Linked DNA regions of Diceros bicornis minor. The protein of the gene in region 1 interacts with the protein of each later gene in a pairwise test. Links are inferred from orthologs where the notes say so. Each region holds a gene or a part of one and is shown in the gene's direction. Other genes may lie near its edges. The genes, in order: TRIM63; GMEB1; cytochrome b-c1 complex subunit 1, mitochondrial; PDHB.

Evidence for each region.
Region 2: the proteins of TRIM63 (region 1) and GMEB1 interact in a two-hybrid assay, tested with the Homo sapiens proteins (2 studies listed by BioGRID and IntAct). The link is inferred for Diceros bicornis minor from reciprocal best matches to the Homo sapiens genes TRIM63 and GMEB1.
Region 3: the proteins of TRIM63 (region 1) and cytochrome b-c1 complex subunit 1, mitochondrial interact in a two-hybrid assay, tested with the Homo sapiens proteins (2 studies listed by BioGRID and IntAct). The link is inferred for Diceros bicornis minor from reciprocal best matches to the Homo sapiens genes TRIM63 and UQCRC1.
Region 4: the proteins of TRIM63 (region 1) and PDHB interact in a two-hybrid assay, tested with the Homo sapiens proteins (2 studies listed by BioGRID). The link is inferred for Diceros bicornis minor from reciprocal best matches to the Homo sapiens genes TRIM63 and PDHB.

The regions. Positions count from the first base shown.
Region 1 is NC_080752.1:42,020,458-42,028,143, reverse strand, and holds the start of TRIM63 (E3 ubiquitin-protein ligase TRIM63), read left to right. Parts: upstream 1-4,369; 5' UTR 4,370-4,660; coding exon 4,661-4,819; intron 4,820-5,981; coding exon 5,982-6,154; intron 6,155-7,686. UniProt on the Homo sapiens protein: E3 ubiquitin ligase. Mediates the ubiquitination and subsequent proteasomal degradation of CKM, GMEB1 and HIBADH.
Region 2 is NC_080752.1:43,990,736-43,998,406, forward strand, and holds the start of GMEB1 (glucocorticoid modulatory element-binding protein 1), read left to right. Parts: upstream 1-4,260; 5' UTR 4,261-4,302; intron 4,303-4,877; exon of another isoform or gene 4,878-5,158; intron 5,159-7,671. UniProt on the Homo sapiens protein: Trans-acting factor that binds to glucocorticoid modulatory elements (GME) present in the TAT (tyrosine aminotransferase) promoter and increases sensitivity to low concentrations of glucocorticoids. Also binds to the transferrin receptor promoter.
Region 3 is NC_080741.1:49,938,796-49,947,205, reverse strand, and holds the start of cytochrome b-c1 complex subunit 1, mitochondrial, read left to right. Parts: upstream 1-4,878; 5' UTR 4,879-5,004; intron 5,005-6,480; 5' UTR 6,481-6,730; coding exon 6,731-6,799; intron 6,800-7,034; coding exon 7,035-7,178; intron 7,179-8,410. UniProt on the Homo sapiens protein: Component of the ubiquinol-cytochrome c oxidoreductase, a multisubunit transmembrane complex that is part of the mitochondrial electron transport chain which drives oxidative phosphorylation.
Region 4 is NC_080741.1:58,309,419-58,317,360, reverse strand, and holds the start of PDHB (pyruvate dehydrogenase E1 component subunit beta, mitochondrial), read left to right. Parts: upstream 1-4,597; 5' UTR 4,598-4,626; coding exon 4,627-4,668; intron 4,669-4,756; coding exon 4,757-4,810; intron 4,811-6,124; coding exon 6,125-6,232; intron 6,233-6,323; coding exon 6,324-6,386; intron 6,387-6,491; coding exon 6,492-6,527; intron 6,528-6,668; coding exon 6,669-6,954; intron 6,955-7,591; coding exon 7,592-7,702; intron 7,703-7,942. UniProt on the Homo sapiens protein: The pyruvate dehydrogenase complex catalyzes the overall conversion of pyruvate to acetyl-CoA and CO(2), and thereby links the glycolytic pathway to the tricarboxylic cycle.

The DNA.
Region 1 (7,686 bases):
TAACCACTTGGCCACAGGGCCAGCCCCAAGATTGGCTTTAAAATATTCCAGAAAAAGGAAGTGTGTGGAGGTATAGATGAAATAAGATTGGTGGGCCGGCCCCGTGGCTTAGTGGTTAAGTGCGTGCACTCCACTACTGGCAGCCTGGGTTCGGATCCCGGGCGCGCACTGACGCACCGCTTCTTCAGCCATGCTGAGGCCGCGTCCCACATACAGCAACTAAAAGGATGTGCAACTATGACATACAACTGTCTACTGGGGCTTTGGGGGAAAAAAAGGAGGAGGATTGGCAATAGATGTTAGCTCAGAGCCAGTCTTCCTCAGCAAAAAGAGGAGGATTAGCACAGATGTTAGCTCAGGGCTGATCTTCTTCACCAAAAAAAAAAAAAAGAAAAAGAAAAAAACATAAGATTAGTAAAATGTTGATAAAAATTGAAGAGGGTTTGGTCACATGAGTTCATTATACTATTCTCTCTACTTTTGTATGTTTGAAATTTTCATAAATAAACAGTAAAAATAAATAAATGAGAAGATGTGTGGAGAGGGAAGCAGTAAAATGTGGTAGTTAAAAGCTCTGGGCTCACATGCACCAGTGGTATTCCACGTTTGTCTCTTTATCTCTGGGTCCTTAGCTTTACAGTATGTTTCAATAACCGGTAATGATACTGGTTTATAACTTCTTCGTTCTGATGCTGGCTCTGCCACTCATTGGCTGGGGGACTTTGGCCAAGTGACTTAACCTCTCTGAGCCTGTTAGGTCGGCTGCGAAAGAGGGAAAATCATGACCTATGCCTCACTGAGTTATTTTGAGGACTGAACAAGAAGATGGATGGAAAGGGCTTAGCACAATGTCTGGCATGCAATAAGCACTCAATAAATGCTTCAGTGAGAAGAGCACAGGTTTAGGACTCGGGCTACGTTGGATATGAACCCCAGCTCAGCTCTGCCGCTTGTGGCTGTGTGACTTTGGCCAAGCCAGTTAACTCTCTGAATCTCATTTCCTCTGGGGAAAAACAAAGATTATGATATCTTCCTTGCAGGACTGTTGTGAGGATTAAATGACAAGACAAGTTTTGATGGCCAGCACGGCCCATGTGGGAATTTCCCTCCCTCATCCCTTGACTTTCAGCAGTGCTAGCCTTGCCAATGCCAGGCTGGAGTCGATCCCACTGTCCGTTTGCTTGGCTTTTGCACCTGGCCTGCCAAGTGTGGCTGGAGAAAGTCAACAGAAGCATGCGAATGGCTCCTCACAAATGGCAAATCCCCGCTGGGAAACGTCAACGAGGCTCTTCTGCCCCCAGACAGCCCTTCCACCCCTCTGTAGGGCACTTCCTCCTGTGTTTCACACTGGCTGGTCAAAACTTTTTCCCCCACCCGCTCACGCTACCCTCCCCCTGCCTCAGTCTCAGAAGTTGACCTCAACTCTCTCTTGACCAAGGTCATCAGTATGAGCACCTTTCTCTCCACCCCCGACACCCCTGATTGTCGCCTCCATCCTTTCCTCTCTCCTATCCTTCCAGCTCAAAGGTTGGAGTGTCCTTCTCCTTCCCAAGGCTTTAGAGTTTACTCCATCAATCCCCCAACCCCAATCTTCCAGTACTTTTTCTTCACTGGCTGCACTGTCTCAGCCAAAAAATAACTTGCTCAAGGACGTTAATCTTCCCCAAGTCTGACAGTGACCTGCTGCTCCCTATTTAACTCACTCATTCGCTCGTTCACTCATCTAAGAAATATGTGTTAAGCGCCTACTATGTGTCAGATACTGGGGGTACAGAGATGAATAGAGACAGTCTTTGACCTCAAAGTCTTCAAAGTCCAGAGGGAGAATCAGACTCACAAACAGATGATGGTAAGATGACAAGTGAGATGGAAAGATGGACCCGTGCTTAATGCTGAGATTGACTGAGTGTGCAATGGACGGAAGGGGGAGCCCAAGGATGGCTCTCAGCTTTCTGGTCTGTGCAAATGGGTGAATGGTACTGCTGTTCACTGAGACATGAGACAAAGAAAACAGAAGGAGGAGCTAGGTGCGGGGGAAGATGGTGTGTTCTGTTTGGGGTATGACGAGTTTGGGGTGCCATTGGAACATCCCAATAGAGATTTCCAACAAATCTTTAGCTTAGGGGAGAGAGAGGTCTGAACTGAAATTAGAGACTGAGGATCGTTGGCATATAGGAGTTGGAATCATGAACATATATGGAGTGCTCTCTGCTGCAAGTAACAGAATAATTGCACTATCATGACATGTATTATCTCACATCTTAAATAGTCAAGAGGCAGGCAGTTCCAGAGGTGGGTAAACGGGCAGCATAATGATGGTGTCAATGACCCAGGTGCTTTCTATGGTTCCTCTTTGCCATTCTCAGAGGTTGATTTCTTCCTCAGACTTGTCCACTCTTGGTTGCAAGGTAACTGCCCCCTCTCTCACAACCCCATTCACGGGCAAGAATGAAGCTTTCTTCTTGCATTTCTTTTTTTATCAGGGAGAAAATCTTTTCTCTGTAGCCCTCCTCCACCAGCCCTTGCATCTCCTTGGCCACAACTGTGTCACTTAGGCAAAGGAGGACAGGATTACCATGATAGGTGTAAGCCTTTGTCTCCTGTGTCAGTGGAGAGGGCTGCCTTCCTGGAGAACAGTTCTGCCAGATTCCTGAACAAAACTGAGGTCGTGTGAGCAAGGAAGAAGGGATGGCTTCTTTTTAACCCTCATCCTCCTCCAACTCCTCGCTGGCCTGGCAGTGTTGACCTACAGTTCAATAGAGACATGAGGAGCTTGGGCTCCTGAGTCAAGCATATCTGGGTTAATGTCCTAGAGCCACGTCTTGCAAGCTGTGTGACCTCATACATAGTTATTTCACTCTCTGTGCCTGAGGTTCCTCATCCGTAGCATGGGGATATAATAGTTCTTACGTTGTTGGCTGTTGAGATGGTGAAATAAAACAATGCACACGAAGTGCTTGGCACAGTGCCTGGCACATGGTAGGTGCTCAGCAAAACTAGCCATTCACATTTTGGGGGGACCACCCTCTCCTTGAAATTCCCCAGCCCCTTGTCCTCTAGGCCTCCACCTCTTTCTCTGACTGGGTCCCCCTCTTCCCCTTCTCCCTCCCATTTCCTCTCCTTCCCAAAGTTGGCTCCTCTGCCCTCGCTACTCACTAAGTCTTCTCCAACCGTCAACTCTTCTCCAGGCTGAGGGGATCAAACCTAGTCTCTTGCCACTCCTCTTTCATGAGATCTTGGACCCTCCTCCTGTATGTTCTACAGCCTCTCAAGCTCATCCTGAGGCCTGATGTCACTGCTCCCACTCTCACCCCAGTGCCTTATAGTGATGGCCCCAATATCCCTTTGCATGAGATTCACCTTAAAAACAGCCATTGGAACTGCTCCAATGACTTCTACTTGCCAACATGGAAGATGTCCAGAAGGACATGGAGAAAAATTTAAATTTGTACAGAGGGGGGCCGGCCCCTGGCATAGCGGTTAAGTGCGCGAGCTCCGCTGCTGGCGGCCGGGGTTCGGGTCCCAGGCGTGCACAGATGCACCACTTGTCAGGCCATGCTGAGGCCGCGTCCCACATAAAGTGGAGGAAGATAGGCACAGATGTTAGCCCAGGGCCAGTCTTCCTCAGCAAAAAGAGGAGGATTGGCACAGATGTTAGCTCAGGGCTGATCTTCCTCACAAAAAAAAAAAAAAATTTGTACAGAGGACAAAGGAGAGCATCTGGATAACTTCTAAGTGTCTAGGTAGGCATTACATAATAGTTATTTCTGTCTGTCTCTCTCCCTACACTGTAGGAATCTCAGGGCAGGGAAAAGGAGTACTCATTTATCTGTCACTTTGGCGCCTGATGTATAGTCAGTACTCAGAAAAATGTTTGATGAATGAATAAGGTTCCTGGCTTTGCCACTTACTTTCTAAGTGACTTTGAATAAGCTCCTTTCCTTCTAAACCTCAGCGTCAAAATCTATACAACGAGGGGACTGGACTATGTCTTAAGGGAGCCCTTCAGCATTAAAGTACAATTAGTGGCCAAGGAATGGAGGGATGGGTTAACTGGGGTGGGAGTTTCAAGGTCTCCAGCAACATGCTGTGCTCAGGGATGGGCTCAGAGAAAGGGGCTGCCCTGACCCTTCATCTTGGGGGCTGCCTAGGACTCCACAAGGGGGGGACCTGATTTAGGTTAGTGAGGGGACACTGGCTGTTAACCCCACAAATCCCAGTGGCCCACTCGCTGGGTCCCGTCCCTGGCTTACCAGCCTGTTGTGGGAGGAAACTAATTTCTGGAGGAAACTTTGGGTGCCCCTCCCCCAACCCTGCCCACAAACAGGCTGTTCTTGTTTACGACCCCCATCCCAGGGGAACAGGGATTGCTCATCGCTACATGTGATTTGAGAGGGCCGGTCTTTCAGGCCTGGAAGAAACTCAAGCCCCGCCAGCCGCTTGGCATCGGAATGCTCAGCTGGTCCCCTCCTGGGGCTCATGTGACCGGGGTCCAGCTATAAATATCAGAGGGGCCTCAGCCCAAGACAGAATTCGGGCGCCAGGAGAAGAAGACAAAGAGGCTCCGGGTGGGTGTTTTGTGACACAGGCAAGACCCCAGGTCTGCTTCGAGTGAGGCCGGTGGAGGAGGCATCCAGGTGGGGCCACACCTTCCGACAATATGGATTATAAGTCAAGCCTGATCCAGGATGGGAGCCCCATGGAGAACCTGGAGAAGCAGCTGATCTGTCCCATCTGCCTGGAGATGTTTACCAAGCCGGTGGTCATCTTGCCGTGTCAGCACAACCTCTGCCGGAAGTGTGCCAATGACATCTTTCAGGTCAGTGCGGGGCGGAGCCTAGTTGCGGGGCCCCAGGTGGCTCTTCAGTTTTCCCATAAGGAAAGCCCTTCTCTCCTAGCCCAGGACTCTTCCAAACTGGGGTTGGTTTTTTCTTCTCCTAAGTGACCCCCTGCTGAGGCCTCTGGCCTGGCTGAGGGGGGCTAGGGAGGTGGCTCTGGCTGCCCCATTCCTTCTCCATGACGCATGTTTCCCCTCCCCGCCCTGCCCGCAGCTCCCCCACCCGCATCCTGAACACCGCAGTTGACTCTCCAATAGGAGTCAAATGCCTCGAGTGATAAGAGGGAGAGGCAGGCAGAGACGAGAGAGAAACCAGACCCCTGGGGCCGGAGCCAGCTCCGTGGTGGCAGGGCCCCAAAGCTTTAGGAGGAGGGTGGCTGGGAGGCCCTGGGCAGTAGAGACGTCTTCCCCTTCAAGGCTGTTCTCTATAATATGGGGGCAGGAGAATCTCCATCTCCCTAAGAAAGGAATGGGGGTGGAGGTCCTGGCTGGAGGCAGGACTCAAGTTTCCCCAGAAGCACTTTACAAAATGTTCTCTCACTTCTTTATCTTTAAAGTGGCAGCCCTAGGAGCTGGCTCTAATTATAGTGCCCATTTCGTGAATGGGCAAACTGAGGCTTGGAGACATGAGGTTGCTTGCCCAAAGTCATTCAGAGAAGAACCGTGACTTAAACCTAGGTCTGCTGACTCCCAAACCTGTTGACTGCTTAGTTGCTCCTCAGGTGCTCCCTTTGTAAGTGGGCTGGCGAGCTCCAAGTCACATGGTGTGACAAGAATGGTTGAGGAGCCTGCCCTGATGGCCTAGTGGTTAAAGTTCAGTGCGCTCCACTTCGGCAGCCCTGGTTAGGTTCCCAGGCGTGGAACCACACCACTTGTCTGTCAATAGCCATGCTGTGGTGGTGGCTCACATAGAAGAACTAGAAGGACTCACAACTAGGATATACAACTGTGTACTGGGGCTTTGGGGAGGAAAAAAACAAAAATAGAGAGGAAGACTGGCAACAGATGTTAGCTCAGAGTGAATCTTTCCCAGCAAAAAAAAAAGAATGTTTGGGGGTAAGCAGAGGGAAAGACAATCAGAGATTAGAAAGGGGAGGGGCTGAGGAGGGACCCCAGGCCTCATGTCTGCCCTTGCCACCCGCAGGCTGCAAATCCCTACTGGACCAACCGGGGTGGCTCGGTGTCCGTGTCTGGAGGCCGTTTCCGCTGCCCCTCCTGCCGCCATGAGGTGATCATGGATCGTCACGGAGTGTACGGTCTGCAGAGGAATCTGCTGGTGGAGAACATCATTGACATCTACAAGCAGGAGTGTTCCAGGTCAGTCTGCCTGGCTGCTGGGAGCCCATCCTCTCTCCCCACTGTTCTCTGCCCAGCCCTCCCAGGCTCCTTCCTCCTTCATCTGCTTGGGATCCAGTCCCGTAGTTGGGCAAGATACACTAGCCAGTCCAGAGAGCCATCCCCTCTTCCTCAGGCAGGAACAGAGGCTCATCTCTGTCCTCCAACCCTGGCTCTCTGTGTCACTCAGTGAATGGGAAAGGGCCCAGATGTTAGGCTGCCCTCTTGGGAGATACTGAGACAGAAACTGGGGCGAAGATGAGATACGAGAGGGAGAGAGAGGACTGGGGCTAGCTAAGTGGCCCTGATAAGCAGAGAAGTGCCCAGCGAGAACACAGCCAGTTTCTCTATAGTGATAGCAACAGGTATCGTCCCATGTGCCCGGACGCACAGCCTGGGGCACCGGGAATGCTTCCTCCTGCTCCTTCACAACAGTCCTGTGGGTCAGGCATGACTTTTATCATCCCCATTTCACCAGTGGGGAGGCTGAGGCTCAAAGAGGTGAAGTCAGTTACCCGAGGTCTCCCAGTTGGGAAGCGGAATTGCTGGGGATGGACCCAGTCGATTTAGCTCTGAGTCTCCCTGTTTGTAAAATAGCAGCTCAGCCTCAGGCGGGATTTGTGAGTGGGGGACATTGTGCAGTCCCCTGTGTCTCTCTCAAACGGAGAGAGACACAGCTACCGGGGAGATCTTTACAAATCAGGACATCCTAACAAGACTTCCAGGCTGCTGACCTCACAGCCTTTATGGTCCAAAACCTCCACCAAGTGCCGGCCTGCAGGTGGCGTCCTGCCCAAAGAAAGATGGCAGACCAGTCCTAGTGAGAAAGAGCCCTGACCTGGGGAAGGGTGTTTGCTGGTCTGACTCTGTTACTAATGCATTGTAGGATCTTGAGTAAGTCTTTGGGCCTTCATTTCCCCTGTCTGAAGAATGGGACAGTAAGATTTGTTATTGTGATTATCAAATAGGATTTTGATGGGAAATGTTAAAAACAGCAAATATTTATTGAGCACCTACTGTGTGTAGCCACTGTACTAAGTATTTTCCATGCATTATCCCTATTTAATTCTTAAAATAATTCTATAAGGAATTCTTGCCCTCATTTTACAGTGAGGAAGTGGAGGCTCAGAGAATGTCAGAGGCTTGTCCAAGGCCACTCAGCAGCAAGTGGTGAAACTGAGAGGGAGCCTATCTGACTGACTCCATGGTGAACATTCCTAACCGATATTGCTTCTCATGTTGCTGGAGTTCAACACTACAAAAATGCAAATATATTGTTGATCATTATAATAATAATAAAATCAATATTGTACGAAAATATTAGCCCACCCAGTGTTGACCTAGGAAGAACACGTTGTGTTTGCCCTTCGAGGCTTTTCCACATAGTTGAATGACAGTGATAGCTCCCCTCTATTGAGGGTCTGCTCTGTGCCAGGGCCTACACATTCATTACAGTCAACTCCTGCCATTGACCCCAGTACCTCTGGGATGAAACCAAGGCTCAGAGAGGTGAA
Region 2 (7,671 bases), about 2.0 Mb from region 1:
TAAAATAGAAGTGTTTTTTTTTTCTCTGCTTCTCCATTCTTGTATGCACTTTACAATTTTCTACAGTGAACATGTAATTATAGGAAAAATAATTAAGTGAAAAAAATTTTAAAAAGCCTTCACATGACTTTCTCTCCTGTTAAAATAATCATCTTATTGCCTTATGTCTTAGTTCCTCCTTTCTATCAAAAAATTTTAAAGAATTGTCTCCACTCACTGTTTCCGCCATTTCTCCTCCCATTTACTACTTGATCCACTATAATCTTCCTTCCCAACCTCGGAGGAGACTCTACCCTGGAAGGATCAGCAATGACCTCTTAGTTGCCAAAACCACGGGCTTCTCCTTTGTTCCTGCCAGAGCTCTCTGCAGTATCTGACATCGTTGGTGCCATCTCGTCCTTCTGGAAGCCCCCTGCCTGCTCTCTGGGCTTCCTCTCTTCCCTCTGTCCAGGGACCTAACCTTTCCAAACACTTCTGGTCGGTTCCTGCAGGTTTCTCAAGGCTTAATGTTGCCCAGGTTCGAGCCCCTAGCCCCCTCCCTCTCTGCACACTCCTGTTAGCTGACCTCATCCCCTCTTGGCCTCTGTGGTCCCATCTACATGACAGGTCTCAAATTCCAGCCCTGGCCTCTTGCCTGGGACAAGTCAACCCAACCTCCTTTGGAACACCTTCATTTGGATGTCCCTTAAGCACCTCAGACTCAACAAGTCCAAACGGACTCGTCATTTCTACTTTCCCTCAATCCCCAACCAACTCTTCCTGCTTTGTTCCTTCACTGGGTCATCCTTGTCCCTTTGTCTCCCTCACTCCCCACATCTGGTTGGTCACTAACGTCTGCTGGTTCCAATTGGGAACTGCATCTGGAGCACATCAGCTCACATCATCATAGCGGTCTCCCCCACACACTAGTTTCCTTTTCCCAGTCCTTCTCCTTTCCAGTCCATATTCTATAATTTTTCTGGTCATTCATTCGATCAACAAACATTTGCCATACACCAAACTCTGTTCCAAATACTATGTGGGGTAAATGATAAAGATTGACACAAAATAGGTAAATAAACAAATCTAGGGGATTTCAAATTGTGGGGATTGCTATGAAGGTAAGCAGGGGGATTGGGAGAAAGGAACTAGGGCATGGGGAGGAGAGTTCTCTCAGATGTGGTCTTTGCCCTGAAATAGTCCCCCAAATGAACATGACAGGTGCCCTGATGGAACTGGGGGCAGCAATGATAGAGCAAATTGTGGCTGGGGACCCTTCTTTAGGTTGGGAGCCAGGGAAGGCCTGTGAAGAGTGAAAGATGAGAATGAGCTTCTCAGGACCTGAGGAAGGAGCTATCCAGATAGAGGGAAGAGCCAGTGACAAGGCCCTGAGCAGGGTTCACAAGGCCCTGGGCACAAAAAGGAGCCCAGGGTGTCTGGAGCACAATGAGAGAGGGGCAGAGAAGAGAAAAGGCAGGAAGGAGATCATGCATGGTGGCCCTGGTGGGGGAGTGGGGTGGGGAGGTGTCTGGGTTTAACTCTAAGTGCATTGGGAGGGCTGGCCCCGTGGCTTAGTGGTTAAGCGCGCACTCCGCTGCTGGCGGCCCGGGTTCGATCCCGGCGTGTACTGACGCACCGCTTCTCCGGCCATGCTGAGGCCGCGTCCCATATACAGCAACTAGAAGGATGTGCAGCTATGACATACAACTATCTACTGGGGCTTTGGGGGAAAAAAATAATAATAAAAAAATTATAAGTGCATTGGGAGGCTACTGAAGAGTTTTTAACAGGGAAGTCACATTTGACTTTATCTCTTTAATTTTTATTTATTTATTTTTTTCCCCCAAAGCCCCAGTAGATAGTTGTATGTCATAGCTGCACATCCTTCTAGTTGCTGTATGTGGGACGCGGCCTCAGCATGGCCGGAGAAGCGGTGCGTCAGTGTGCGCCCGGGATCCGAACCCGGGCCGCCAGCAGCGGAGTGCGCACACTTAACCACTAAACCACAGCGCCCGCCCAGACTTTATCTCTTTAAAAGATTACTCCCACTAGGTGCCTAGGGTGGATAGCATTTGGGGGTGGGGTGGATAGGGTTACTGAGTATTGAGAAATTACTGCAGTGGTCCAGGCTAGTCTGTGGGCCGGCGCTGGGTGTTAGCAGTGCAGTTGGAGAGGACTTAAACCCCACCTTGGATCCCCACCCCCTGCAGGATAGCTCCTTACTCCTTGACAACCTTCTGGTTCCAGCCTCCCTCTTCAGCCCCATCTCCTATCATTTCTTACTTCTTTGTCTTTGGACATGTTGTACTTTTTGGAATGCTCTTCCCCACTTTTCCCTTTGATGAACTCCTATTCATCCTTGAGACCAGGCTCAAACATCCCCTCCTCTGTGAAGTCTTTCAGGAACTCTCCAGGGAGAGTCCTTTGCACTTTTCAGTGGTTTGTTTCTATCTCTAGGATAACACCTGTCGCACTGTCCTGTCCTGTATGTTTACAATTCTGTCTCTGAAGGTGGACCAAGAGCTTCTGGAAGGCAGGGATAGGTTTTTGGTAAATGCTCAATGAGTGTTTGATGCATAATCAAAAGACACAGATGATCCCACTATGGAATAGTTCACATGGGTCAAGAGTCCAGTCATGACCAGCCATTATATTCAGAATCATCTGCTAATGTGTAAGTCCTTAATCATAAGAACAGATACTAACATGGGTACTAAGTCTCCTTATTTGATCCTGGAAACAGCCCTGAGAGGTGGGCACAGCGGGAAAATCATTTCTGTTTTACAGATGCGGAAATCAAAGATTAAGGGAGGTATAACTTGGCCAAGATCCCAGAGCTGCTAAAGCCAAGCCTAGAACCCAGGTTGTCTGATCCCCCCAAATTCAGTTCTTTTGTTTACTCCTGGGCTGCCTCATCTGTCTCTTGATCTGCCTCTTGATCTTGAATCAAGATCTTTTTTTTTTTAATAATTTAATCTATTTATTTTCCCCCAAAGCTCCAGTAGATAGTTGTATGTCATAGTTGCACATCCTTCTAGTTACTGTATGCAGGATGCAGCCTCAGCATGGCCCGAGAAGTGGTGCATCAGTGCGCACCCAGGATCCGAACCCGGGCCCCCAGCAGTGGAGTGTGCGCACTCAACCGCTAAGCCACAGGGCCAGCCCGAATCAAGATCTTGTAAAACTTCCTGTCACCTCTTCAGGAGGGAGGGGATAGATAGCAAAGATATGACTCACAGGAGGAGGCAAGATGGGGAAGCAATTCTCCTTCCCCCTCCGAAGAAAGTGCCCAAATACCACCACCTCATTTCTTCTTAATAAGGACAGCGACCATCTTAGTGGGTGGGTATAACCATGGACTCTGGAGAAAGAATGGCCTTAGTTTAAATCCTGGCTATACCATTTACAGGTTTTGTGACCTTGAGGAATTAGTTAACTTCTCTGGCCCTCCTGCTTTTTTTTTTTAATGTGAAAAAAAGTGAAAAGAAGTGAAAAAAGAAGTGAAAAGAAGCTACTTAGTAGAGTTCCTTCGAGGATTATATGGGACAAAAGCATCTTCCCCCAGGCCTGGCCATATAGAAAGGTCTTAGTCTTTGCTAATTACCATTACTGGCCCCAGGAATTTTCCTAAGCACTTTTCATGTATCACTTCTTTTAACACTCACAACAACCTTACCCCTTAGGCGAAATCGAGGCCTAGAGCGGTTAAATAACTCCCCCAAAGAAGTAAAGACTTGAACCCAAAACCTCACCAGGAAATGCTTGGCAAACGTGCATGGGTGAGAGAATGTAAGCAGCTTGCTCAGGGACTCGTGACCAGTTACTGACTATACTCAGCCAGATCTTTTGATTCCAAATTGATAGTTGGGTCATAACTTCTGAAGGTCTGACAAGATGTAAGCTTCATAAAACAGGATTTGGGGAGGTAAGAGGAGCAGAGTCCTCCAGTGGAGTCGAGAGACCTGCCTTTGCCCCCATTTGTGGATGAGGTGAATCTTTAATTTAGGCCTCATTTTCCTCATACATGAAGCGGGAGAAGGAGAGTTATTGGAGTCCCTAGCGTCCTTCCCAACACTGACTTTCCAGAGCGGGAGACCCCTGCTCAGCGAAAGGCTCACTCAATTCCCTCCGGCTGAGGTTCATCCTCCGCGGGACCGGCAATAGGGACGCGTCCCCTTTAAGGCGCCAGCTCGCCGGCGGCGGCCGGAAGTCTTGAAGCCGGGCCTGGCGGCGGCGGTGGCGGTAGCGGCCGTGGCGGCCTCTGCGCATGCTCCGTGGCCCGCCCGCCCTGGCCGCTCGCCGCCCGCCCGCCCGACGGAGACGGTGAGGAGGGGGAGGGGTGGGCGCGCGGGCGCGGGCGCGGGGTGGGGTGGGGGCGGGGGGGGCGGGCGCGGGGGCCGCGCGGCGGCCGGCGAGGGCGGGCGGGCGCGCAGGGGGCGGGGGGGCTGCTGCCTCCGCGGGCGCCTCCCCACGCCCTGTGCGTGCCGCCGCCGCCGCCGGGGAGCGAGCGGACGTCGCGGCGCCGCGGGGGGGTGGGGGGACGCTGCCGCTGGGTCCGCCCGAGCAGCCGGGCCGCCCCCAGCGCGGCTGGCCGCGCCGCTCGGGCTCGGCTGCTGGCCGAGAGCCGCGGGGGCCCGGGAGCCCGGCACTGGGGGGGCCCCTGCGCCCCTGGACCGAGGGGCCCGGAAGTCCTCGGCCGAGGGGCTAGGAGGGGCCGGAGCGCCTCCGGACTGAGGCCGGACGTCCAGGACCCCGGCGAGGGGTCCGGGGAGCCTGGGGTATCCCCAGAGGCGGGGTCCGGGGAGCACCAGGCCCTTCGCTGAGGGGCTGAGGAGAGGCCTGGGTGGCGCGCGGGGGGAGGGGGGCGAAAGGTGAGGGGAGCCTGGGTGGCCGCGGAGAGGAGCCCCTCGGAGCCTTGGCGGGCGCGCAAGAGCCGAGAGTGGGTTTTGCTGAGGAAAGGAGGGGCCGGGCTTCACCTGAGGGGCGCGTTAGAGGCCTCGGCCCTTCAGTCCGTGGAGAGAGACAGATGTTTTTCCGAAGGCGGGCGTGGTGACAGGTCTGGGTACAAGGAAGAAGAGCTCCCAGGGAAAGCGAGCAGCCCCTGCCTTCCCGTCATGAGGGGCCGGGAAGAAGACACCTCAGCGCCCCCTGAAGTAGCCATGAGAGGGAGATTTGATAGGTAGAGAACGGGGTCATCTGGTATGTCAGGGGGTGGGGGAACCCAGGTTTTTGAGGACCCTAGAGAAGATAATTGAGAGGAAGAAGCTTAGAGTACGCTTACTTTCTGAACTTGCCTCCTAATGGAGGGGCAGGAGAGGTGAGGGCAGAATCTTACTTGAGGGTCCTGGAGAGTGGTCCACCAGACAAGGCTTGTCAAGCCTTGACCCAGGGATCAGGGGAAGGCTTGGCTATCCAAGGAGCAGGAGGAGGCCTCAGCTCTCCTCTCAAGATGAGAGAGATCGCAAAACCACTTCCTGGCAGACCCAAAAGGGGCCTGGATTGGTGTCTGTTTACCAGGACCAAGAAGTGGAGTTTTCCTGCTTAACCTGGAGGATTGGAGAAAGGGACGACCAGATAATTCTAGCCTCACAGAGGGATTCTTTTCTCCCCCCTTGCCTCTGCTAATGGTTACCAAAGTGCTTTTGGGGGACTTTTTCATTAAATGTTTGGACTGTCTTCCCTAATTTGTGGGCTCTTTATGAATTATGCATATTTAATGTCTACTGACTTGATGACATTTTCTTTAGTCAGCAACCACTTGGGGGCCCGCCCCGTGGCTTAGCAGTTAAGTGCGCGCTCTGCTACTGGTGGCCTGGGTTCGGATCCCAGGCGTGCACTGACCCACCGCTTCTCCAGCCATGCTGAGGTGGCGTCCCACATACAGCAACTAGAAGGATGTGCAGCTATGACATACAACTATCTACTGGGGCTTTGGGGAGAAAAAGGGAAAAAAAAGGAGGATTGGCATGGATGTTGTTAGCTCAGGGCTGATCTTGCTCACAGACGCACACACAAAACAAAAAAAAACCCAACCACTTGTATTTACCTCAGCAACATATATGGAATAGTTAATTTGTACTTAACTAAGTTGGGCTAGTTTGGTCCCTCTTTTGGTCTTATGCTGTAGTGGGTCTTAGACTGTAGTGGGATGACCCTTCAAAGAACCCTTTTATTCCATTGCTTCCCCAAACACTTACATAGTGTTCTGCAACATGTGACTTACCCTGAACTTCATTTGCTCTGTTTCCCTCACAGTGGTCCTGTGTAGCCTTCTTGTTGGCTTCATTACATCTGGTAGCATTCTGAATCACCTACTAAATATATGAGAAGGAATAAAGAAGGAAAAAAAATCAAGGAGTCTTGGTCTCAAGTAATAATAAAGTTTTAACTTTATTTCTTAAGTTTCTTAAGAATAGACTACAAAACAGTCTACAAAAGTTACAAACAGTGTGGAATAAATACATTTTTGGGGTTAGAAAATTTCAGGATATCTGGTATTTTTATTACTCCTTTTCAGCAACCAACTCTGATGTCCCTGTGATCATGTGACACTTGTGCTTACATCTTGCCATGTTTTAAATGTTGGTTTTTCAGGACACAAAAAGTAAATTTAATCCAGAGTAGGTCAGATGTCATTGTTTAGTTTTCCAATAGCTTACGTGAGTAGTCATGCACTTACTTTCAAGGTCTCTTTTTTGTCTTTGAAAATAACTACAAAATAATTTTTGCTTTTCACATAAATTTGACATAATTCCTTTATGTGTGTTCCCCTAGAATTATAGAAAGTGTTGTGTGATTCCACAATGAATTCTCCAAGGCCCCTTCCATGAAATACCCAAAGGATCAATTCACTCATCTTGCATTAGGAGTTTTTGTTGCTATAAACAAGAGCTACTTTTCAGTTTACACTCAGCTCAAAGAGATGACCTTGCAATTAGCCACTGTAGTCTGTAGAGCTGGTTTCAGGTTACTTGCTAGGAATATGGTATTTAGGGTAATAAGAGATATTCAACCTAAACTTGCTCCTCTAAAGAATGTAAGAATTGCGATGTTGGATCAGACCTGTGTCTCTGACTGACACTGAGAGACATGTTGTGGATGATTATAATTATCTTCTCTGATATACTCTCAGAAGGTTAGAGAAGCAGCCAGAACATTCCTCTTGGGTTCCAAGGTGTGGGAGGGGTAAGGAGTAAAATATGAGTTCCTATTGAGGAAAGTATTAATCAAGTAGTTAGTCAACCACTTATTCAGAGTGTTGTAGAGAGAACTCAACCTTAGGGTAGAAGGTTGAAACTGGAAGCATCTTTCTAATTCTGCTTCTCTAACCCATTAAGTTACCTAAGCTATTAATTTTTAAAAATTTAAACGACCTTTTTGGAATAATAAATTCCACTTTTGGAATAATAAATTCCGTAAGTTTGTTACCTGGTAAAGTATTACATCTTTTAAATTAATTAAATATGTAATAGTAACAGACAATAAATGAATGTCCAACAAATGTTAGCTGTGATTATAATTTTAATTCACCCTACATTTTTGTGGTTCAAGCTTTGAAGATATCTATTGGTTCAATTATTCTAGGATTGATGGCATTTGTATGCTTCATCATATCCCTTTTTTTTTGCTGAGGAAGATCTGGCCTGAACTAACATCTGTTGCCAATCTTCCTCTTTTTGCTTGAGGAAGATT
Region 3 (8,410 bases), on another chromosome or scaffold:
TTAAATGGGTCCAAAAATAAATTCTGGAGCTGAAGAGTATAATATCTGAAATGAAAAACTCACTAGAAGTGTTCAACAGCAGATTGGAGCAGGCAGAAGAAAGGATCAGTGAATTTGAAGGTAAGACAATTGAAATTATCCTGTCTGAGGAGAGAAAGAAAAAGAATAAAGAAAAATAAACAGATCCTGATGGACCTGTGGAATACTATCAAACAGAACAAGGTATGCATCATGGGAGTTCCACAAGGAGAAGAAAGAGAAAGGAGCAGAAAAAAATATTTGAATAAATAATGCCCCAAATCTCCCCAAATCTGATGTAAGATATGAATATACACATCCAAGAATCTCGATGAACTCCAAGTAAGATAAACTCAGAGATCTACACAGAAACACATTATAATTAAATTGTTGAAACTCAAAGACAGAGACAAGTGACTCCTCATGTACAAGGGATTCTAACTAAGATTAACATATGATTTCTACTCAGAAACCATGGAAGCCAGAAGGCAGTGGGATGACATATTTAAAGTCTTGAACAAAACCCCCCCCATCAACCAAGAATTCTATATCCAGCAAAACTATCCTTCAAGAATGAAGGAGAAATAAAGACAGTTCCAGATAAACAAAAGCTGAGAGGGTTCATTACCAGTAGATCTATCCTACAAGAAATGCTACAGGGAGTCCTTCAGGCTTAAATAAAAGGACACTAGACAACAACTCAAAGCCGTATGAAAAGCAAAGAACACTAGTAAAGGTAATTTCCTAGGTAACCATAAAAGCCAGAATTAATGCCCTTTAAGTTTGGTTTGTAACTTCTCTCTTTTTCCTATATGATTTAAAAGGCAAATGCATAAAACAATAATTATAAATCTATGTTAACATTTAAAGAAGAATTTACACCAATTCTTCTCAAACTCTTCCAGAAAATTGAAGAGGAGGGAACACTTCTTAATTTATTCTATGAGGCCAGCATTGCTCTGGCACCAAAGCCAGACAAAGACACTGCACGAAAAGAAAACTACTATCTATATTATTAATATATATGCAAATATCTTCAACAAAATATTAGGAAATCAAATTCAGCAGCATATTAAGAGGGATGCAAGTGGGATTTATTCCCAAAATGCAAGGATGGTTCAACATATGGAAATCAATCAATGCACTACACCACATTAATAGAATGAAGGGGGAAAAAAGCATATGATAACCTCAGTTGATGCAGAAAAAGCATTTGACAAAATTCGACACCCTTTCTTAATAAAAAACACTCAGTAAACTAGGAATGGAAGGAAACTTCCTCAACATGATAAAGGCCATATATGAAAAACCCACAGCTAACATCATACTCAATGGTGAAAGACTGAAAGCCTTTTCTCTAATACCAGGAAGAAGATGAGGATGCCCACTTTCACCACTACTATTCAACATAGTAGTGGAAGTTCTCGCCAGAGCAATTATGCAAGAAAGAAAAAAGAAAAGACATCCAAATTGGAAAGGAAAAAGTAAAATTATCTCTGTTCATTGATGACATGATGGTATGTGTAGAAAACTCCAAAATTGTTAGAGCTAATAAATGAATTCAGCAAAGTTGAAGAATATAAAATCCATATAAAAATCAACTGTATTTCTATGCACTTACAATGAACAATCTGAAAAGGGAATATTTTAAAAAAATCATGAATAACAGTGTCAAAAAGGATAAAATACTTAGGATTAAATTTAAGCAAAGAGGCAAAAGACTTGTATGCTGAAAACCACAAAACATTGCCAAAAGAAATTAAAGAAGACATAAATAAGTAGAAAGACATTCCATGTTCTTGGATTGGAGAACTTAAGACTGTTAAGATGACAATACTACACAGGGTGGTCTACAGATTCAATGCAATCCCTATCAAAACCCCAACGGTGTTTTTTTAGAGAAATAGAAAAACCCATCTTAAAATATATGGAATCTCAAGGGACCCTGAATAGCCAAAATAATCTTAAAGAAGAACAAAGTTGGAGAACTCATACTTCCTGATTTCCAAAACATACCACAGAGGTACTATAATCAATACAGTGTGGTAGGCCGGCCTGGTGGCGCAAGCTGTTAAGCACGTGTGCTCTGCTGTGGCGGCCCCGGGTTTGCCGGTTCAGATCCCGGGCGTTCACCGACACACTGCTTGGCAAGCCATGCTGTGGTGGCGTCCCATATAAAGTGGAGGAAGATGGGCACGGATGTTAGCCCAGGGCCAGTCTTCCTCAGCAGAAAAAGAGGAGGATTGGCAGATGTTAGCACAGGGCTGGTCTCCTCACAAGAAAAAAAAAAGTACAGTGTGGTATTGCTATAAGGATAGACATATAGACCAATGGAATAGAATAGAGAGACCAGAAATAAACCTGCACACGTATGGTAAATTGGTTTTCAACAACGGTGCCAAGACTGTTTAATGGGGAAAAGACAGTTTTTTCAATAAATGGTGCTGGGAAAACTGGATATCCACATGCAAAAAAATGAAGTTGGACCCTTACCTTACATCATATACAAAGTTAACTAAAAAGTACCAAGGATTAAATTTAAGAGTTAAAAGATTAAATCTAAGAGTTAAAACTCTTAGAGGAAAACATAGATGAAAATCTTCATAACCTTGGAGAAGGCAATGATTTCTTAAGTATGACACCAAAAGAACAGGCAATAAAAGAAAAAATAGATAAATTGGACTTCATCAAAATAAAACCTTTTGTGCGTCAAAGGATACTATCAAGAGAGTAAAAAGACAGTCCACAAAATGAGATAAAATATTTGTAAATCATATATCTAATAAGGGATTAATATCCAGCATATATAAAGAACTCCTACAACTCAACAACAACAAAACAACACAATTCAAAAATGGACAAAGGATTTGAATAGACATTTCTCTAAAGGAGATATACAGATGGCCGATAAATACACGAAAAGATGCTCAACATTACTAGTCATTGAAGAAATACAAATCAAAACCACAATGAGATATCACATCACCCCCATTAAGATGGCTATTATAAGAAAAAAAATGGAAGAGAACAAATATTGGTGTGGATGTAGAGAAATTAGACCCCTTGTGCGTTGCTGGTGGGAATGTAAAACAATACAGCCACTATGGAAAACAGTTTAGCAGTTCCTCAAAAAACTAAACATAGAATTACCATGTGATCCAGCAATACCCCTCCCAGGTATATACCAAAAGAATTGAAAGCAGGCTCTCAAACAGATACTTGTATGCCAGTGTTCACTGCAGCATTATTTACAATAGACAAAAGGTAGTAACAGCCCAAGTGTCCATCAACAGATGAATGGATAAATGACAGTATGCTAAGTGAAATAAGCCAAACATAAAAGGACAACGTTAAAAGATAAACCGAGGCATATTAAAAATTTTGAGGTTATTTGAGCAAAATCAATTCAAATTGAGCAGCATCCAATCTAGCAGATAGAAAGGAGCTCCAAGGAGCTGCACAAAATGAAAGACCTTTATAGGCAGAAGGGAGCAGGAACAAGGAGGTTATATTAGACAAAAAAGTGGGTTGGTTATTGCAAAATTACTTTCCTGTAGGGGATGGCAGGGGTCTATCAGGCAGATGGACTAACTAGTGCTGATCAGGCAATTCCTGATTGACTGGTTTAAGATTCCATTTCTTAACTTAATTAAGTTGTCTTGGTCTGGTAACATGGGGCTTAGCATAGTGACTCTATTTTGGGCCTGTTGTCTTTTTAACAACAAATATCGTACGATCCCACTTATGTGAAATATCTAGAATAGGCAAGTTCATAAAGACAGAAAATAGAATCGAGGTTACCAGGGGAAGGAGGAAGGGGGAAAAATGGTGAGTTATTGCTTAATGGTACAGAGTTTCTGTTTTGGGTGACAAAAAAGTTTTAGAAATAGTGGTGATGGTTGCACAACATTTTGAATGTAGTTAATGCCACTGATAACTATTAACTATACAGTTATAGATGCTAAATTTTATGTATATGGTAGCACAAGTTAAAGCTAAAATTAAAGAAATAACATAAAAATAAAAAAATCCAGGGGCTGGCCTGGTGGCGTAGCGGTTAAGTTCACGCATTCCGCTTCGGTGGCCCGGGGTTTGCTTGTTCGGATCCTAGGTGTGGACCTACTCACCGCTCATTAAGCCATGCTGAGGTGGCATCCCATATAGAAGAGCTACGACTCTATAACTGTGATACACAACTAGTACTGGGGCTTTGGGGAGAAAAAAGAAAAAGAGGAAAATTGGCAACAGATGTTAGTGCAGGGCTAATCTTCCTCAAAAAAAAATTTTTTTTTTAATCCAGAAGAAAAAAATGGTGAGTATATCAAACAAATACTGAGTGAGAAGAGTAAGGTGAGTGTCAGAGCCCTCTCAGGCAGTCTGCATGGACCTGGTTACAGGTGTGAGAATCTCAGGGAGTAATAAAGGGAGTCTCAGAGATGGATAGAGAAAGGAGGCCTGGTCAAGAAATGCTGTCCCAAAATTCAGTTTGCAATTTAGGAGGGAAAAGGATATTTTGACCTCACCTCACTCCATATACCAAGTAAATTCCAGAAGATCAATGAGTCACCGAAGACTCTTGCCAAATCGTTGCAATGGCCACTACTTGTACTTGACCTTTTAGTAACATTTCCATTTTTGACCAATCTCTTGAAACACATCCTTCCCTGGGCATTTGCAACATCTCACTTCCTGGTTGTCTCACTGGCCTTCCCTTCTCATCCCGGGGTAGCAGTGGGGGTGGGGAAGGGGAGCTAGGTCACTGGATTGAGAAATTATTTGGAACAGAATTTGCTAAAGGATTGGGTGTGGATTTTGAAAGTGAGGAGTCAAAGAGGGCTCCTAGATATTTAGCCTGAGCAACTGGGTTAACGGAAGTGTCATTTACTGAGATGAAGATAATTATGGGAGGAACAAGTTTGGAAGGGAAAGTGAAAAGTTCAGCTCCAATGCTTAACTCAGATGTCTGATGGCCCTCCAGGAGAGATGGTGAGTAAATGGTGGGAATATAGGAGTCATTGTATATATAGACAGCAATGAAGCCATAAGGCTGGGTGAGATGACCAGGGAGTAAGTTTTGATCAGGAAGGGAAGAGGTGCCAGGACTGAGCCCTGGGCACTCACTGTGTAAAACTCAGGAGGTGAGGAGGAACCAACAGAATTGCTAAGAAGGAGAGTCCAGGGAGGTAGGACAAAGAAGGGAATAGCATGGGAACCTGGAGGCGGAAAAGGGATGAGGCTCTGAGGAGGAAGAAGTGGCCAATCACCTTAAATGAGACTGTGCATTGGCCATTGGATTTAGCAACATGGAGCTCACTGATTACATTGACAGGTGTGGTTTTGGAGGAGTGAAGTGGGGACTGGAATGGAGAGGGTTTGGGAGAGAATGGGAGGAGAGGAACTGCACATAGTGAGCTCTCTGGGGGAGCTCTGCTTGAAGGATGGTACAGAATGCGGTGGTCACTGTAGGAGGCTGTGTCACAGGCCAGAGAAGCCTAAGGAGACATGACAATGAAATGTAATGTGATATCCTAGATGGGATCCTAGAACAGAAAAAGGACATCAGGTAAAAACTAAGGGAATCTGAATAAACTATGGACTTTAATAATAATGTACCAATATTATTTCATTAATTGTAACAAATGTACTATAATAATGTAAGATGTTAATAATAGGGGAAGCTGTGCACGTGTGTATGGCGGTATATATAGGAAACTCTGTACTATCTGCTCAATTTTTCTGTAAATACAAAACTGTTCTGGGGCTGGCCCTGTGGTGTAGTGGTTAAGTGTGCGTGCTCCACTGCTGGCAGCCCTGGTTCGGATCCTGGGCACGCACTGACACACCGCTTGTCAGGCCATGCTGTGGCAGCATCCCACATAAAGTGGAGGAAGATGGGCACGGATGTTAGCCCAGGGCCAGTCTTCCTCAGTAAAAAAGAAGAGGATTGACAACAGATGTTAGCTCAGGACTAATGTTCCTCACCAAAAAAAAAAAAAAAAAAAAAAAAAAAAAAGTTGTATTAAAATAATACAGGAAGGTAAAAATGGTAGCTTTCTCTTCCTTCCTCTGCACCCATTTTCCGGAAGTCACCTGGCTGAAAGCTTAGAGTGAGTTCCTCCGGATTTCTTTCTATGTAGTCTATCTGAAGAGGCACGTCGTTTTGTTGTGTGTGTGTGTGTGTGTGTGTGTGTGTGTGTGTGTGTTTTCCAAACAAGGAATCCTTTTCACAAATTGGTCTCTAAGTTCTTCCTTTTTTCTTAGCAATATATCGTTAAGTTCCTTCCATGTCAACCGTCTGAATTTACTTCATTTTTTAAAAGAGAATCGTGACTTTCAGCAGCTGCCTCGTAGTCCCAGGATTCCACGTAGATGCTTTTGCTCCGGGGCCGTGATCCGCGGACACGCAGTGGATTTGGAGCGCCCGCGGTTCGTGAGAAACATCTCCAACTCTGCCTCCCATAGGTGAAAGGGGAAGAGGACTAGACTGCGGACGGACTCGCGTAGAACGACGAAGAGAGAGGTAGACGGACTGACGCACGTACGTACCGGCGGACGCGCCGACAGAGCCAGCAAGCAGCCCGGAGTAAATATCCCGGATTCCCCCCCGGGGGCGGCCGAGCGCCAAGGCTGCGTAACTGCGCCTGCGCCTGGGGCGCCACCGCGTCTACTCTACGCATGCGTGGCGCGGCCCAACGCCGACTGGAGCTTGAAGATGGCGGCTTCCGTGGTTTGCCGGGCGGCCTGCTCCGCGACGCGAGTGCTGCTGTGCACCCGCCGCTCGGTGAGGTGGCAACGAGAGCGCAGGGCTACGGAGCGCGGACGGGGAGCGGGCTGTTAGTTGCAGCGGGTCAAGATCGAGGAGGTCGCGGGGTCAGGGCCGTGGGAAGGTCACGGTCCAGGGCGGGGCTGGGAGTCTCGCGGCTGGCCCGGGGGCGGGGACGGGGATCCCACTGTGGGCATGGCAGCTGAGGAGCGATCTCCCAACTCAGTCCTCATTCGCGGCCGCCCGTTTCTAGCAGCCCGCCCTGCTGAGGTCTCCTGCCTTCCGGGGCACCGCCACCTTCGCCCAGGCCCTCCAGAGCGTGCCAGAGACGCAGGTCAGCCTGCTGGACAGCGGGCTGCGAGTGGCCTCGGAGCAGTCCTCCCAGCCTACCTGCACGGTGAGTGGGGGCCGCTGTCGGGAGGACGCCTCCATATTGGGCCAGGCGTCTTTTCCCAGGTCGGGCTGTGACCTTGGGCTCGAGTCCTCTGGTTTGGGTCAGACTCCTGCTCACTCACCACTGGATTGATCTTCTACCCCAATGCCGACACCACCTACGCTTTGACTTCTTGGGGGCAGTCCTCACTATAGCCAGCACTCATTTAGCATATGTTGCCTGTGAACCAGGAGGCCAGGTTCTTTTCCAGCTTTTTCTTAAGCAGCCTAGATGAGAGAAGTGATCCTGTTTCCATTTTACAACGAGGAAAATGGGGTTCAGAGACATTAGGTGACTGCCTGCCTCACAGCCCAAAGTCATAATCTTCTGGCTAGACCAGGAATGCATTGCGGAAAAAGTACATTTGAAGATTCCATTGCAGTGGATGATCTTCCGAAAAAAAAAAATCTTAAAAATTGACTCAAGGATAGAAATCTTGGCTAGATATATGAATAGGTAAGAAGATTCTCAAGAAGTAATCCTCCTCCTTCCCACCCCAAACTCCATGGCTAAGTGGTTTTATTGGTAACTGCTTTCAGTTTTCCAGGAACAAATAACGTTCTATGATATAAGTTGTTACTGAATACAGCAAAAGGTGATGGGCAGCTTCCTTGTTATGTGGCACCTGTATAAACCGACCCAAAGCCTGTTAAGAAAGCTTGGTAGAGAATGCTGTGTTCCATGGACTCTTAAGATGCTCTAGATTGTCAGGAGCATCACTGTGTGCTAGTGCCAGAGAATGTTGTCAGTTATAATCAGAGGATACCATGGATTGTAAAGTGCACCTTCCTTTCCAAGATGTTAGATGTGAAATAGACGTTTATGTAAGAATTTATGACATAGGGTATGTATGTCCACATCTCTTAAGAAAGTAGATATGAAAATTTTAAATTAGTTGTGAACAAATAGTAAATTAAAAGACTAGATCCATGTGACCATGTTGAGTGAGTGGTGTGGTGTGTATTTCACAACACACCAGAAGGATATTAAGAAAATTATAAGGGGCTGGCCCAGTGGCGTAGTGGTTAAGTTTGCATGCTCCGCTTTGGTGGCCCGGGGTTCGTGGGTTCAGATCCTGGGTGCGGACGGACGCACTGCTAATCAAGCCGTGCTGTGGCAGCATCCCATATACAAAATAGAGGAAGATGGGCAGAGGTGTTAGCTCAGGGCTAATCTTCCTCAGCAAAAAGAGGGAC
Region 4 (7,942 bases), on another chromosome or scaffold:
GCAGGAAGGGCGATTACTTTATTTCTTTCTGTACTACTTGAATTTTTTTCCCACAACAGGATAAATTTCCTATTTGAAAACATTTTTTAAATTAAAAATGAAATAGAAAACATAAGTGCATATGGATATATGGGAAAGAAATATGCAAAAATTCTAAAAGATATTTTACTCAGAAGTGGGATATAGAGTTTCCTTTTGGGAAAATGAAAAAAGTTCTGGAGATGGATGGTGGTGGTGGTTGAACAACAGTGTGAATGTATCTAATGCCACTGAACTGTACACTTAAAAATGGTTAAAACGGTAAATTTTATGTTTGCATATTTTACCACAATAAAAAACAATCTAATTAGTATATGAGCAAAAGACTTGAACAGACACTTCACCAAAGATGGATGGCAAGTAAACACATGAAAAGATGTTCAATATCCTTAAACATTAGGGAAATATAAATTAAAGTCATGAGGGATACTACCACACATCTATTAGAATGGCTAAAATGAAAAATATTGATAATATCAGGTTCTGGCAAGGATCCAGAGCAACTGGATATCTGATACATTTGTGGAGGTAACATAAAATGGTAGAGCCACCCTGGAAAAACAGCTTGGCAATTTCTTAAAGGTTAAACACACACCTAACATACAGTTGTACTGCTGGGTATTTACCTGAAGAAATGTTAAACTTATGCTCACACAAAACCCCGCAAACCAATGTTCATGGCAGCTTTATTAATAGCTTAAAACTAGATACAACCCAAATGTCCTTCAATGAATGAATGAGTAAAGTGATATAGCCATTCAACTAGTAAGCCATAAAAAAGAAAGAAATGTTGATACACGCAAACACTTGAATGGATCAAGGGCATTAGGCTGAGTGACAATAGCTAATCTCAACGAGTTACATATTGTATGATTCCATGTATAAAACACTCTTGAAATAACAAATTATAGTGATTGAGAACAGATCAGTGATTGCCAGGAGTTAGGGGTGGGGGAGGGTGTGACTTTGAGGAAACACGAGGAGTTCTTTCTGGTGATGGAAAAATTTTGTATTCTGATTGTGGTAGTGGTTACATGAATCTGTACACGTGATAAAATTCTATAGTACTATACACATACACACACAAAAGAATGCATATAAAAACTGGTGAAAGCTGAATAAAGTCTCTATCCAAGTTAATAGTATTGTACCAGTGTCAGTTTCTGGGTTTTGACAATGTGTATGGTTATAAAAGATATTATCATTTGGCAAATCTGGGTGAAGGGTGCATGGAAATTCTTTGTACTATTTTTGCAACTTCTCGTGAGTTTTAAAGTCTTACAAAAGAAAAAATCAGAAGAAAAAAATAGGAGTAAACTATTGATACTTAACAACAACGAGGGGCGGGCCCCGTGGCTTAGCGGTTAAGTGCGCGTGCTCCGCTGCTGGTGGCCGGGGTTCAGATCCCGGGCGCGCACCAACGCACCGCTTCTCCGGCCATGCTGAGGCCGCGTCCCACATGCAGCAACTAGAAGGATGTGCAACTATGACATACAACTATCTACTGGGGCTTTGGGGGAAAAAATAAATAAATAAAATTATAAAAAAAAAAACAAGGAGGAATCTCAAACACATTTTGCTGAGCTAACGCAGCCAGATACAAAAGGGTATACACCGTCCAACTCCATTTATTTCAAGTTCTAAAACAGGCAAAGGAAAATACGATGATGGAAATCAGATCTGTGATTGCCTGTGGGGTGATGTGTGGGGAATGATCGGGAGGAGACATGAGGGAACTTTCTGGGGTGACGGAAATGTGCATTTTACTGTATTTAAGTTACACCTAAGAAGGTAGAAGGAGTGAAAAGCCCCCTTTAATAAACCTTGTTTGCAATGACAAAAAAAGTTGGTCATGTCCATAGATATCGAAAACTGGACAAAGGACTTTCTGACAACTGACAAACCAAAGTGACTTGAGGACAAATGTTCCTATAACTTTGGAAAGATTTCATTCCAAGAGAGAAATGGCCTGATTGGCCAATATATACTTTCCAATCCCTTTCTGTAAACTCTAGTGAGCATATGAATGTAGACTTTTTGAAATGATTATGGATTTAAAATTCACACTTTTATCTTTTGTGTCTTCTACACTTAAGGGAAATTCGTGCCTAGCTTTTCCAAACTGGCCATTTATAGAGTTTGAAAGGAAAGCCCATGTACCAATGAATATACCTAATGTATTTGAAATGCCCACAGCCATCATTTCAAAAGAAGATTTTCAGCTGAGGCCAGCTGAGTCCTGTGGAGTTGCACTGTCTTCCTGACTGAGCTGGCCAGACTAGCTGCACAGACTGAGTGTTCCTGGCGATTTTGGATCTCTGTATAAATATGGCCCCAGAACACTCTCCTTTGTCTAGACAAAACAGTCCAGATTCTGGCTTCTCTTTGGGTCATTCTTCCTTCACTTCGAGATCTCCTTTTGCTTTGTAATTTTAATCCCGAAGTCTTGCAGTGCTGGGTGGTGGGAGAGCTGACTCACATTTTCATTCTAAGCAGAATCCAGTGTCCACACAAATAATCCATAATCAATCTATAAATCAAAATTGGGGGTGAATTTATTACCAGCCTGGTCTGAGAACTATAACCCAGGGAGCTTCCTTCCCCAAGGAAGGAAGCAAACCTAAGAAATGGAGTGTACAGAGTGGTTATATACTGCCTTGGAACAAACAGCATACATCACATATGATAGGAATATCTCTTTTACTACTGTCACAAGATGCTTAGCTGGCACAGCAGGTCAGTGGTCAGCAGGTCAATGGTCACGAGGTGAGCATAACAGATTGGTAATTAATCCTTAGTTTCTAGGAAGAGATGCTTATCCTTAAGGAAATGCCAATGTGGGGCGAAGCTACATCCCTATCTTTAATGGCATCATTCTTATCTTTGGGAAATTATAAATATTTAAAGCAGATGTACAATGCATGCTCAACAGGCCACATCAGGCACTTTGGAAAAACAAAGTCAAGTCAAATTAGTTTTAAATCAAATGGCTTCTTCATATACTCCAATATGTCCTATTGATTTTCATTTATTTTTCACCAGGATTCCCTGACGGCTGACATCTCAAATTCAGGGGTTTCTCAGGGATGCTGGGGCTGTGGGGAAGTGCTGAGGTTTCCTGCCAAGGACTGAAGGGACTAGATGGTGGCACCAGGTGAGGGAGACACGGAAGGTCTTGACTCCATACCTTAGAGACTATCTCTCCATTTTACAGATGATGAAGCAGAGGCCCAGAGATTAAAGGCCATCTCTATGCAGCTGTCCCCAAATTTATATTTCTAGCCCTACCTAGCCTCAAGCTCCAGACTCCTCTATCCAACCTGGGTATGGCCCAGTCATCTAAACTCAGCTTGTTCAGAATAGACTCTTAACCTCCCACCTGGTCCCAGGCTCCACCCCTCCCCCATCCACCCAACAACAACAAAAAACCCGAAATCTTCCCCAACTCTTCCCTTCCCTCACAGCAATCCTACTGATTCTAGTCCCAAATAGATCTCAAATCTGTCCCTTCCTCTTCACCCTGAAACGGCCCCCTAGTCCAGCTCTCTCTCTGCCTAACACTCCCTGGGGTGTCCCTGCTTTTGCCCTCATCCTCCACCTCATTCTCCCTCACCAAGCAGATCTAGTCACTTCCTTGTGGCACCTGGAGCCCTTAGATACAACCCAGACTCTGAGGTTGCAGACCAGCAGCATGCAGCCCACAGAAGGTTTTTGTCTGGAATGTCTTGGAGATAAGTGAGGACTGAGGGAGTCCCCAGTGGTCCCGCCTGACCCCCAAGGGTCGAACGGAGACCAATGAGAGGAAGCTTCCAGATGCTGCCCCTAGTCAAGTATTTGGCTTCATACGGTCCTCTCTAAATGCAAGTTGTTGTAACCTCCTCCCAGGCGGGACCCCAACTTCTGCCTCAGAAAGCAATGGGAAAAGTCAGACAGTCCTAAATTAAAATCCCGGCTCATTTAACCAATCTGCTTCAGTTTACCCATCTGCGAAATGGAGATAATAATAACAAAATTACCTGAGAGGGTTCCTCTAAGAATTAAATGAGCTGTAAATAAAGCACTTCCCTACAATACCTGGCATGCAGTAGGCGCTTAATGCGCCAGTGAAAGCTCTTGTTCGCATTCTAAGGGACCAACAGACATTGCTGTCCAGAGAAAAGTAGGATCGCTCATAATGCAGTAAGTGCCGCGCCACTGGAGTGTGTGCAAGCGCTACTTGGTGCCCAAAGGATTTCAGTGCCCGCAGAAGGCTGGCCCTCTAGCCTCGAGTTATGCTCCTTAGTGTCTGACTTGTGGTCCCCGCGCTTCATCCCACACCACCCAGGGACGTGTCCCCAGCGTGCAGTCCGCATGTCAGCCGCAGCGCACTCTCAATAAAGTTCACTGAAGTCGCCGGAGCAAGTGCGGCAGGCCCAGCCCAAGCGCCACCTCGGCCCCGCCCCTCGGCCCCTCACCCGGGGAGGGGATGGGCGGGGCACGCAGGCGTCGCGCCCTGCTATTGGCCGGTGCCGGCGGGGGAGGCGGGGCCTGGCGCCCCCGCGGCCCCGCTGTGTTGTCATTCGGCGGCCGCTAGAGGACACGGTCAAGATGGCGGCGGTATCTGGGCTGGTGCGGAGACCCCTGGAGCAGGTAGGCAGCGGCGCGCGGGCCCCGGGACCCTGCGCGATCCCTGCCCACCTTGCGTCCCCTCTGAGCGTCCTCTCTCTCTCCCCGCCAGGTCTCCGGGTTCCTGAGGAGACGCTTTCACCGGACGGCGCCGGCGGCGCTACAGGTAACTGGCCTGGACGCTAGCCGGGGCGTGGAGGGGCCCCTGGTCCCGCGGCGGAGGCCGGGGTCGCGCCTGCGCTGTGGCGGGTGGGCACCGAGGGCAGAGGGTGGCCGCGGGCGTTGGGCGTCTACCGAGTCCCGCGTCGGACTGGTGCTGCCTCTGTGATGGCCAGTCCCCAATCACAGCAGCATGTCACCCCCGCGAGGCTCACTGGAATCAGATGGGCGATCTGAGGAAACGAGACTACGCTTCTTCCCTGACCCCCTTTTATTAATTTTTTATTGTGGCAAAATATACATAACATAAAACTTACCGTTTTAAAGTGCATCTTGAGCGGCGCTAAGTATGTTCACCATGTTGTGCAACCATCATCACATTCATCTCCAGAACTTTATCATCATCCCAAACAGAAACTGTGCCCACTAAACAATAACTCCCATTTCCCCTTAGCCGCTGGTAACCTCTGTTGTACTTTGTGTGTCTATGAATTTATCTATTCTAGGTACCTCCTGTAAGTGGAATCATACATTAGTCCTTTTATACCTGGCTTATTTCACTTATGTGTTTTCAAGGTTCATTCATGTTATAGCAGGTGTCAGAAGTCCCTTCCTTTTTAAGGCTGAATAATAGTCCATTGTATGCGTATACCACATTTTATTTATCCATTCCTCTGTTGATGGACATTTGGTTGCTTCCACTTTTTGGATTTGAGAATAATGCTGCTGTGAACGTTGGTGTGCAAGTATGAGTCTCTACTTGGGTATATTATCTAGAACGGGAATTGTCAGATCATATTGTAATTCTGTGTTCTACGTTTTGAGGAATTCCCCCCTCCTTTTATTTTTTATTGGAGAATTCTACCAACCTGTATAGTAAAATAACTCCTAGATCCTGAAGGCAAAGTGTTTGGCAGTGCCTGGCACCTAGTGAGTTGTCAGTATGTAGTATTATTTATGCTTTCTTGACAGTTCTCTGCCCCACAGTACACCACGTGTGGAAATAAAACAAACCACTATACTTTCTACTTGGGAAACTGCCTATGAGCTGGTCTGGCCAGCAAGCAGATTTTTTAAGCTTAGGTGCACGTCAAGAAAAGTGTTCAGTAAACTTCTCATTAACACATCCAACCAAAGACTGGCTGTGTGTGATAGAAATGTTACTTTTAGAATTCTTTGAACTTTTAAAGAGAAACCTGTTCCAGTGGTAATTTTTATATGGTATGCTATGGACAGCCTAGGTGATTATAAAGAGAGAGACTCTCAATAGTATCCTAAATAATCCTTTAGCTTATTGACTGTTTTCCCATACCTGTGACAGGTGACAGTTCGTGAGGCTATAAATCAAGGTATGGATGAGGAGCTGGAAAGAGATGAGAAGGTGTTTCTTCTTGGGGAAGAAGTTGCCCAGTATGATGGGGCATACAAGGTAACCAAGATACGGGAAAGCTATACAAAACTGAGGTGGCCGTTTGCCCCCAGATACACTTAAAAGTAATGGGGTCAATGCTTAATTGTAGGTTAGTCGAGGCCTGTGGAAGAAATATGGAGATAAGAGGATCATAGACACGCCCATATCTGAGGTGAGCCTTCCATCAGGAAGCTGACTTTTGAGGGGCATGTCTATTAAAGTGTACGCTGTTATAATTTCTATGGATTTTCACTTATGTTTGTGTTTTACTTTATAGATGGGCTTTGCTGGAATTGCTGTAGGGGCAGCTATGGTATGTAATCCTCTTTATGAATCTGATCCAAAGAAATTCTTTTAACATGACCTTTTAAAAACGTTTGAATGTTGGAAGAGCGGAGGGGTTGTTTGCCACTCTTCATTGCTGTTTTTAACATCTGTGTTTTTTATTTGACAGGCTGGATTGCGGCCCATTTGTGAATTTATGACCTTCAATTTTTCTATGCAAGCCATTGACCAGGTTATAAACTCTGCTGCCAAGACCTACTACATGTCAGGGGGCCTTCAGCCTGTGCCCATAGTCTTCAGGGGGCCCAATGGCGCCTCAGCCGGCGTAGCTGCCCAGCACTCACAGTGCTTTGCTGCCTGGTATGGGCACTGCCCAGGCTTAAAGGTGGTCAGCCCCTGGAATTCAGAGGATGCAAAAGGACTTATTAAATCAGCCATTCGGGATAACAATCCAGGTCAGCAGAGTAAGCCTTGGGTCTCTTTTGAACATTAAAGAACTAAAGTGAGGGCCGGCCCCGTGGCTTAGCAGTTGGGTGCGCGCGCTCCGCTGCTGGCGGCTCAGATTCGGATCCCGGGCATGCACAGACGCACCATTTCTCCGGCCATGCTGAGGCTGCGTCCCACATACAGCAACTAGAAGGATGTGCAGCTATGATATACAACTATTGACTGGGGCTTTGGGGAAGAAAAATAAATAAATAGAATTAAAAAAGAAAAAGAACTAAAGTGAAATCTTTGCATGGAAGGAACCATTAAAGTCTTCTAGTTAGGCTTAGACATATCATATAAATGTTAATGATGTAGAGATAGAATAAAAATAGTAAAAAATGTTTTTCTTATTTCTGACTATAAGGGGGCCAGTAAGGTATAGGAAACATTTACTACACACTTACAACGCTGGTTTAACCTCAATAGATAAAATTAGGATTGACCAGACTACAAATATCAGTACCTAAACCATCTTCAAGGCTGCTGGCCAAGATAGATAGATACAAGGCTTCCTAATCAGCACAGTGAAACTTTTCACAAAATGAATAATAATGTTGTGTATACATTTTTAGTCATGTAGTTACTTTTGTTTATATTTTGCAGTGGTGATGCTAGAGAATGAATTGATGTATGGAGTTCCTTTTGAACTTTCCTCAGAAGCTCAGTCAAAAGATTTTCTGGTTCCTATTGGAAAAGCCAAAATAGAAAGGCAAGGTAAGAGAATTTAGTATACATTTAAACATTATTTGTAATCCAGCCCTTCTGTTTATGTTGGTCAAATTCAATCTAGAGGTTATTGCCCTTTGCTTTGACTAGGAAGTTATAGGATGAGTTCAAGTTAAGGATGTGTCATGCCCTGATTGCTCATACACTTGTGCGTTTCTAAATATCAGTCTGGTAGATTTTTGTTTCATTTCTAGGAAGGCTGCTACACTCCTCACTGGAATGAAGTTG